Linked DNA regions of Nothobranchius furzeri. Each later gene encodes a partner of the first gene's protein in a complex. Links are inferred from orthologs where the notes say so. Each region holds a gene or a part of one and is shown in the gene's direction. Other genes may lie near its edges.

The links. Proteins that work in one complex are often made in the same cells at the same time.
Region 2: the proteins of pds5b (region 1) and wapla are in contact, whole or in part, in a crystal structure (PDB 5HDT), measured with the Homo sapiens proteins. The link is inferred for Nothobranchius furzeri from reciprocal best matches to the Homo sapiens genes PDS5B and WAPL. Residues at the interface, in NP_055847.1 of Homo sapiens: Gln47, Phe88, Ala92, Pro93, Ala95, Trp137, Val138, Lys139, Ser140, Asn142, Ile143, Phe145, Glu146, Glu187, Gly188, Asp189; in NP_055860.1 of Homo sapiens: Lys7, Thr8, Tyr9, Ser10, Arg11.

The regions. Positions count from the first base shown.
Region 1 is NC_091750.1:62,006,422-62,011,424, reverse strand, and holds the start of pds5b (sister chromatid cohesion protein PDS5 homolog B), read left to right. Parts: upstream 1-1,899; 5' UTR 1,900-2,007; intron 2,008-5,003. Other genes in the region: zar1l (protein ZAR1-like), read right to left, coding at 1-364. UniProt on the Homo sapiens protein: Regulator of sister chromatid cohesion in mitosis which may stabilize cohesin complex association with chromatin. May couple sister chromatid cohesion during mitosis to DNA replication.
Region 2 is NC_091752.1:29,580,554-29,585,295, forward strand, and holds the start of wapla (wings apart-like protein homolog), read left to right. Parts: upstream 1-1,390; 5' UTR 1,391-1,603; intron 1,604-2,564; 5' UTR 2,565-2,590; coding exon 2,591-2,978; intron 2,979-3,603; coding exon 3,604-4,306; intron 4,307-4,441; coding exon 4,442-4,742. UniProt on the Homo sapiens protein: Regulator of sister chromatid cohesion in mitosis which negatively regulates cohesin association with chromatin. Involved in both sister chromatid cohesion during interphase and sister-chromatid resolution during early stages of mitosis.

The DNA.
Region 1 (5,003 bases):
GCAGGTTGCTCACCGGCGGCGTGTGGGGCTTCGTCTTTTCCTCCGGTTTGACCTGACCAGGACTCTCGAGGTGCTCGTCGACCAGCAGCGTTTTGGGACCCAAGGAACACTGGACTATTTTATCCACTTTGGCGTTCACCTGCACGCCGCACTCTTTGGTGTTTTCCTTTCTGGCTGGGGGAGGAGGGTGTGCGCCGGGACTGACTTGGGACAGGATGGTCTTGCAGAGCTCCAGGTAGCTGAGGCCCGGAGGGATCATGAAGCGGCCCTCTCTCTTCCCCCAGCTGCTGCCCTGAGCCGGGGGAGCGCACACCGGGTTCCCATAGGCGTTATAGGGCGGAAACGTGTGCAGGAACCCCTCCATCCTAGAGCCAAGAAACCGATCCAAGCACCTCCTTTTAGAATTTATGCAGTTACCATCAAGCCACTTTAATTGGTTAATTGACACCCAGGTGTGCAGGTTCTAATTAAACACACAAAATACATAATTTAGTAATTATTTAACAATAATTTCAGATATATTTTTTTAAATTATATGTCTCTGATGTTCATTGGTAACCTTTAAACTTTTTGCAGCTTTTACAAAATCTGTGTAATTCTGACATAAGTAATTAAAAATTTTCAAAAGGATGTAGGTTCATACATTCATTTTCTGAACCCGCTTGCCCTTGTGGGGTCGCCGGGGGAGGGGGTGGGAATCTCCAGCGGGCAATCGGCAATCAGGCGGGGTACACCCTGGACAGAGAGCCAGTCCATCGCAGGGCAACACAGAGACACATAGGGCAAACAATCATGCACACACACACACACTCACACCTGGGGCAATTTAGACAGACCAATTAACCTAACAGTCATGTTTTTGGACTGTGGGAGGAAGCCGGAGTACCCGGAGAGAACCCACGCGTGCACATGGAGAACATTCAAACTCCATGCAGAAAGATCCCAGGCCGGGAAGCGAACCCAGGACATTCTCGCTGCAAGGCAACAGCTCTAACCACTGCGCAGCCTCGATTTAGGCTCAAATGTCTGTAAATCAGAAACGTTGTATTGGAGCGCCCCCTATAGTTCACACTGTCCATAAAACTATGAAAAAGACAAAACCATCTGTAAAACACCTTCCATTTGACACAATGAAAATATGTTGGAAAATGAATCTCTGTAGAATATTCTAAATTAATTTTTATTAAATTAAAATCAATAACAAAACATATGTTTATTATAATAGAAGTAGCCAATAAACTTATGAAAAGGAAAACAAATGTTACAGGATGCATAAAGGGTTATTTTTAAAATGTGATTTTAGAAAATAACCAGTAGCAACATATATATTGCACCAATGAAAACATGTGTTTGTTTTCCGAAGCTATATTTATTCAAAAGAATAATAATAAAAAACTTTGGTTCAACTAAATGATAAACAACCCGCACTTATAGCGCCTCTCACAGTAAGGACTTCAAAGCGCTTTACACTACAGTTCATCCATTCACACACTGGTGGGGATGAGCAACAATGTAGCCACAGCTGCCCTGGGGCGCACTGACAGAGGCGAGGCAAACTACTATGGTTTATTAGTGTATTTATACACAATCTTTTGTGCAATTTTAGGTTTTCGCTCATCTTTGCGCTCCTGAAAAATAAACAGATTGATGAAAAATATAATAAACTATTGAACATTTTAGGAAACTATGTATTCTTATTTAAATAATGTGCAGTTGCTTTTATTCAATAAAATATTTCATCATTTTTACACACCCAAACACTAAACAAGGTAAGGTTTGAGTTGTTTATAAAACCATTCATAAACAGTTTTATTTTACAAAAATCTGAATTCAAACATGATGTAAGCAGAACGACTTGCGTGGACTCGTCTATAGGTGGCGCTGCTCACTCACGGATGGGTTGTACCCATGGGCTCTGAATCTATGCATGTTGGCGCCATTTTGGAGCTAGGAGGGGAAAGAGAGCTGCAGAGGAGGACACGATTTATCACTATTCATCGGTAACAGGTAAGAAAAGGCACCAACAAGCACACCCGTTGTTTTAAACTGGCAGGATCTCCTATCGCTCCTGCGAATAAATCGGTATGTGTTGGGATTTTCCCGTAGAGACGTTTGGTTCCAAACGGTTAAAAAGGCGGAGCGCAGCCCGCCTCGGTCGCTTGTGTTCTCGGCTGCTTTGCTCGATCCACCGCGCTGCTCAACCTGGTTCTGCGGCGCAAAAACGCGGTTGACCAGTACAATATAAGCTCGTTGGTTAGGCTCGGTGACTCTAGTGGAATGAACAGGCAGTGACGAGACTTGTGGTGTGGCTCGGCTCGGGGTTGTAGGAACCATGTAACGGTTGTTATCCGGGCTGTTTTGTTCCATGCAACGTTGCCATCTGTCCGCCCTCTGTCACTGAGATTGCTGCTGCTAATGCTACCTTGAGCATGCTAACCCCGGCTAGCTGAGTTAGCCACCGTCAGTCAAGCATTATACTGACCGTACTTCTTTAAATGCTGCGGTGGTGAATCAGTATTCTCCATTCATTCATAATGTTCGCTTGTCTATTCGTAACCTGTCGCTCACAAATAACCTTAAATTAGGCTAAATCTCATGTTAGCATCATTTTTAGATATGACGATGCTGACGATGTAGTACGGTGCATTTTTGTCTTTTCTAGTTAAACTGGCGTCCTAAATGGTTGTTGGACAGCGTGATGTTTATCCTTTAGTAATCGTGAAAGCGATTCACTTTCTGCATGTTCGGTTTATCTCAATTTAAAGCTGGTTTTGCTCACGCTTACTTTTTAGTGATCTGACCCGATATGGATTGTTATTGAGTTGTGTGGTGATGCTTGGAGAAATCACCACGAAAAGATGACATTAGTAATCAAATTAGTGCATTATAATATACTAAAAGTCGCTTACAGCTTTGTGTGTTTTTGACTGCTAATCATCAACGTTATAGGTTTGTCAGTGATTCACGGGAGGGAAAACACTCTGTGGGTAATGGGATAATACGGCCATGACACATTATTTTGATTACATAAAAACCACCGTAAACTAGAGTGAGTATACAGATCTACTGCAAAGAGAATGTCATGTTTTTTTATGTGTAACTTACACCATTTGATTTGCTATTAGATGTTGTCAAATACCATATAACCACAGCTTCAAAAAATGTTTTGGAGGCAATTTTTTATTTAGAGCTGCCTATTTATCCTTACTTTACATTCTGAATGGGGAAAAAAGTGCAATTACTGCCACTATTTCCTATTTGTCTGTTGTGATCTGACTGTGTTGAATGCACAATTCTGTCAGTCCACTTATATGTAGATGAAGCACAGTAACAGTGCTTATGTGCTACTCTACAATTAAATAAAATGTAACTACAAGATGTGAGGAGTCATTTTGCTATAGCTGTTATTGGTCTTGCATGTTTTCCACGTGTCTCCATCTATTTTTAATAACAGTATATATATATATATGCGTGTGTGTATAGGTTTTTTTTAATTAAGCATTCAGTGATTCAGTAGAGTTGTAGGTTAATTCTATTTTATTTATGGCCACATGATCACATGTGTATAAACGTGGGACTGATGTTAACCTTTCCTCTCTGGCTCGTGGTTGTTTAGGACAGCCTTCACATGTTTAGATTGGGGGGTTGCACCTTCTTGAAAATAAACCTTGAAAATAATTTCAGCTTGGTTTGATTTCAAGAAAATACAATCTCTTTAACAGTGCTAGCTAGTTTTCTTTCGTGTTGAGAGTGCCCAAACAGAGGTCGTTAAGTTCACCCTTGCAGCCAGCTGGTGTCCACTCTTCCTTCTTGTTGTTGGCTCTTACCCACTCCCCAAAGATCATCCCTGGAGTTCGAACCGAAGGGCGGATCTGTCGTTGTTCAGATTAGGAACTGAGAATTTCTTTGGATCTTCAAAGTTGTGCTTGAAGCTGTGTTTAAAGGACCAGAATTGGCAGAGCAGAAGCAGTGGGATAGAAACCCTCCACAGGGAGGTAAATGTGTTTAACTGTGATAAACCAGTAATGAGCTCAAAGCAGCCCATGGACAAGCTGTAGTGTGGGGTAGAGCTAGCCCCCTTGTTATTATTTACTACTGCTTTTGTGGAATGTTGCCTGATGGATGGTAACACACACATGAGTTTGGGAAATAGCCTGCCATGATTGGCTGATCGCTCTCCTTGTGTCAGTGTCGTACAGCGATGGAGGGACGGCCTCAAATTTGGCAGCAGCTGTGGGGTGGAAAAGAAGGTCAGAACCAAACGATCTGGCAACCTGCCAATGTTGAGTGTGTTTGTTCTTTGTGTTTGTGTGTTTGCTGCAGCTTGAACGATGCTACAGAAAACTGTCATGATGCGTGAATACATTTATAATGCAGGCTTTAAATTTGACAACTCATTTCTTCTTAAGTAGATAAATAAACATTAAACAAAGTGAAAACACAGTCTGACCTGTACAGTGCCTAAATTCAGGTTTGTTTTCAGTGTTAAATCATTTGTAGTGGTCTTTGTACCAGACAAAAGGGAGAACAGTTAGCAAGAACAAAGGCTGAACAATTTATTGCAGCAACAATTATGTTGTCTTTTCAGAAAACAGTTTTTGATAGTTTGTGGTCATGTGATGGATTCTCGTGTGTGTGTGTGTGTGTGTGTGTGTTTATCACAGACTGGTGATTATTATTTTATATATGTACTACTGATATGATTGCTGGGGGTAAACTATTATTTTTAAAACTATTATTCTGACGATTATTTTATCGAATAGTCGACTATTCTAATGACTATTTAGACAATTAATCTAATGATTATTTTTCTATTGCACAGTTAATAAAAACCAAAAAATCTAATAAATTCCTCAAAAAACTGATAAATTGTTACTGTAAGAGAATAAACACTACAGGCCTTCCATTTTGTATAACACTGCTTTTATTGTGTTGGTTGGTTATGTTCTGGTGATGTGTAGAACTTGGGAGTGCAGGCTGCTGCCTGAGAGGTGGTTGGAGAC
Region 2 (4,742 bases), on another chromosome or scaffold:
GGAAACAGAAGCAGAACATGAAATGCAGCCTAAGTAGACACTAAATAGGGGAAAATGCTCAGCTTATACATGAGAAACCGTTAGTATTGCTGCCATCTGCTGGTTCTGTCTCAGAGTTGCAATTGTCGATTTTACGGATCTTGATTCAGTCTCAAAAGGTTGGAGCAGACACTAAACTCTGTTATTTGGCTTTACCGTGGCACAGATCCCTGACTTATTTGATCAAAGCCTACAAAATATTCAGATTATCACACACATTTTAAAAACTGGACTCAAGCTTTCCTCCAAATAAAGTCATAACTGCCAGACTGCCAAACCACGAGTTCATTATACATGCCATGTCTGTATTGCATCACCATCTCTGGGACCCTGATGTGAACTGACAGCTCCTCTCTGGGTCTAGCTGTAGACAAATGCCAGAAATATGTGAATCTAACACCGTTTGGATACAGCAATGTTTTTAGTAAATGTTGGACAGTTACAAAAACAATTCTGTGACTGAGAAAATCTTTGGTCAAACTGTGATCTATGACTCTTCTGGAAACCAGACACCTTAAAAAGGTGTTGCCACTTTAATGTGCACATTCGCTTCTGGGGGACAACAGAGATCCCACAACATATTTATCTTTCATATACAGAAAATGCATTATTTATTTTTCTTCATGTGAGGAATAATACAACTTTAAGTCCTAAATAACTTTTTGAACGGCGCTCATGTGAAATTAGAATCACCTTCTTTCTGAGTCGTTTCCACAGAGGACCTGTGACCTGAAGGAGTTATCATGTATGTCTAGGATGAGTGATGGTCATTTTAGTGTTGATGTAGTTGTGACCACTTTGTCTTGCTGACCCAGGGCTTAAGTTGTATTTATATTCCAGTTGTGCCCCCTACAGAGTGGTTCTGGTGAATGACTTGCATTTTGGTAAACAAAACAATCAAAGAACTTTAGGTAACCAACACTTACTCTTTTGACTGCTGTTTTACAACCCTAGGTGGGCAATAGTTCATCATTAATAATATTTGAAAAAAACATCTACCATAGAGTAAAATCACCATGGTTTAAAACCATTTGCAAGCTTTAAACCCCAATTTAGCAATTTTCTGCATGTAGCATCGTTACCTGCATTACTCGGCACGGTGTCCAACTTTAAAACTGAACGTGATCCTGCAGCGCCCCCTGTCAGCCTGGTTTTACTTTAAAATTTAAACCAATCAGAGACGCGTATGTTGACACAGTCTCGAGGCACAGGGGAGTGTTCCTGCTGCTGATTGGACAGTTTTTTTTCAACAATGTAGTACGTGATTAGGATGTCTTTCCAACCATCGAGGAGGGAGGGGATATTTTAATGGCCGTCACTTGCACTTAAAAAATACAAAAACTCCGGATTATCAGCTATATTTAGACAAGTACAGCTTCCTATACATTTTAGAACGCCTTTCTTTCGCAATAAACGCAACATCTAAAACATCATTAAATTAGAAATGTGTTTGTAGTGCCTTTTCCGTTGCTCTGAACGGACTTTACCCGCTTGATTTGTGCGTGAGTAGCTGGTTAGGCCTCGCCGGCTGTCTGGAGACGAGACGATTAGCTGGAGTTGAAAGGTAGAAAGTCTTCTTTGCTTTTGCTTTATACTGAATATCATATTAGATGCCAATACTAAAAGCTACCTTATGGGTGCTTGGTCGTGTTTGAAATACGGAGTTTCATGCTTAAAATGGAGCCATGTTAGAAATGTAAACAAGAGTCAGGTTAGCGTAGTTAGCTGTGCGGAAGCTAATAGCTAACTTCACAGTAGTTAACTTTACATGCATGCCTAACTAGTTATCAGGCAGAGACAAGTTACCTACACGGCTAATGTGTGACAAAAGGCCGTGTATTTAACTCCCAAGTTTAATGAAAGTTTATCAAAATCCTTTTTCTCTCGTGTAACCTAGACAAACGACATTCGAAGCTAGAGCTAGCAATGCTAACTTTGTATGCTAGCAACTATCAGTTGACTCAACTAAAACTTGCAGGCAATATTTTGAAAGCATTTTAAGTGTATATATTTTTTTACCTGTCGGTTAGCAAGTAAAATCAATAACATTAGTAAATATATCGATTTCTGAAGTGTCTTGTTATAAAACTTATCTAGGACATATACATTGAAATCCCATTAGGACCTTCAGAATAAGATAACGAACAAGACCGGGTAGTTTTTTGTGAGAAAGTCAAAGAACGAATGGATCGATTGTTGACATTTAGGTAATTCTCTCTATAAATAAAAGTCTAGTTGTTTATAGTTTGTAAAATGTGTTTTAATTTACCCTCAACGCATAAATGACCCCAGTTTTAACCAGAGTAAGAAAAAGTTTGAGATAACAGCTGAAGTCTGAACATTATTTGGAAAAAGAAACTAGTAAGCATCTTGTGACACATGCAGCTTTTTTCATAAACTTAATTTAAAAACATCTAAGATCATTTTTGTTCTTTTAGATGTGCTTGTATGTGAAGGTTCAAATGATCATGTTGTTAACTTAATGCATGTGTTAAATATTGAATGGTCTTTACCTTTATTTACAGAGAATATGTAACAAACAACAACCAGCATGACATCAAGATTTGGTAAAACATACAACCGCAAGGGAGGGGAGGCAAATTCAAAGTTTGAAGAAGTCTTTTCCAATAAAAAGCCCTCTCTGTCCACCAAATGGGGAGAAACTACATACAAGGCTCAGCTGGGAACCAAAAGGCCTCTCTTAAAACCCGGTGTCCCTGAGGTCTCAAAGAGACCCAGGCTTGAGGACAGTGACAATGAAGAAGACCCATTTGGGTTTGACAGCGATGAAGAGTCTAAAACTGTAGCCTCTCACAGTGAGTCTGGTGCGAAACTCATAGAGGAGGGGGTGACAGAAACTGCTCAAGTGCAAAGTAGAGTAACTGCTGCTGTTGTGACTGCCACACAAGGCTCTGCAAGTATACCTGCTACATTCGCAAGTGAGTGACAAAAAATGTTTTATGTTGCATCATTTTCTTTTCACTATCTTTGTCTCTATTTTTTATTCCAATTCTTACACTCAGTTGTGACTTCTATATTATCAGTTCTGGTTCGAGACCAAACTATATATCGGGCCAATATATTAAATTTTTTCTGTACTGTATCGGCCATTAGCCGAAACTATTTTTAAAAGCCAACAAAAAAACAATCAGGCACCTGTGTGGCCAACTACTGCCACTACTAGGCTGAAGAAAGGACCCCAACACACTTATTTATTAATTTTTTTTTTAATATTTTGAGTTTGTTTTGTATTTGAAGTTCAATAAATATTGAGAGTATTATATATTGCACACAGTGAATGTTCAGGTGTCTTTCACAATCATTGTGCTGCTAAAACGTGTATATATACATATATATCTATATATATATATATATATATATATACATATATATATATATATATATATATATATATATATATATATATATATATATATATATATATATATATACACATACATATATCAGCCTTAATAATCAGCTTTAGATAAATATAAACATATCAGTCTGCCTCTAGTCCTGGTCTTTTACTATGATCACTCATAAATTTCTTTACACTTTTAGGTAACCAACCATCAGAGAAGAATGTTAAAAACAACCAGCCCTGGTACAAAAGTGCATTAGAAAGCAATCAGAAACCAGCATGCCCGACCTCGTTTTCAGACACGGTTCTTTCTCAAAACCAGAACATCTCCGTGTCGCAGACAGCTGCTTCCTCTACTTCTGGTTTAGACTCCTCCCTCAAACTGTCAGCTGATGCGCCAGGAGGTAGCAAACACTTTCAAACTCCTTCCTCCTGTGATGGATCTTTATCAGAGGAACTAAAGATGGTGGTGCCCATGGAGCCTCCACCAGAGCCAGTAGACAACATTCCCCCATCGCCATTCACTCTAAGAGCCTCAAACTGCAAGAAATACCAGCGGCCCAGTCGGCCTGATAAAATTCTATCTGAAGTTGCTGAAAACGACAACGAGAAGCTGACCGACATAGCGAGTGTTCAAGATAAAACCAACAGTGTCCTTTCTGCTAGTGCAACTAATACTGCTGCCAGTGTTAAAACAGCAGCTAAGCCTGCAGGCAGAGGTGGTGGGAGGGTGCGAGACTACACAGTTCTGCATCCCTCCTGCGTGTCAGTGTGCAACGTTACTATCCAGGACTCAATTGAGCGGAGCGTTGATGAGTTAGTCCCCCCGGCTACCCCCGCTGACCTTGGAGAAGCAGGGCTTATGAAGAAGAAGTCTGATGCACAGCCACCTAAATCTACTCGGTAAGATGTGTTTTTATCTGTCAGCATTTTAAAATGATTCATAAAGTTGTGATGTTAGTATTCAGTCTGTTTCAAAGAGATTGGACAAATACTTTATTTCTAAATTTACTGTTGTTAATAAATTAATCCTTTTAGGTTTAGACCCACCCAAGCAAAGGTAAAAAAGACTAAAACGGAGACAAAACTGGAGTTCTTTGGCTTTGAGGCGGAAGATGGTGAGCAGGAAGAGGAGAGCTCGGAGAGTGGAATGCCAGGAAAGAGCAGCTACAAGATCAAGTATTTTGGCTTTGATGACCTGAGCGAGAGCGACAGCGATGACGAGAGCTCTCAGGTCAAAGAGAAAAGGGCCAAGAAGGCAGCTTTAGCTTCCCTGAGCTCCGGGGTGGACAGTCCTCACACGAGTGATTCTCAGGACAGTCAAGCCAGCAGCAACACA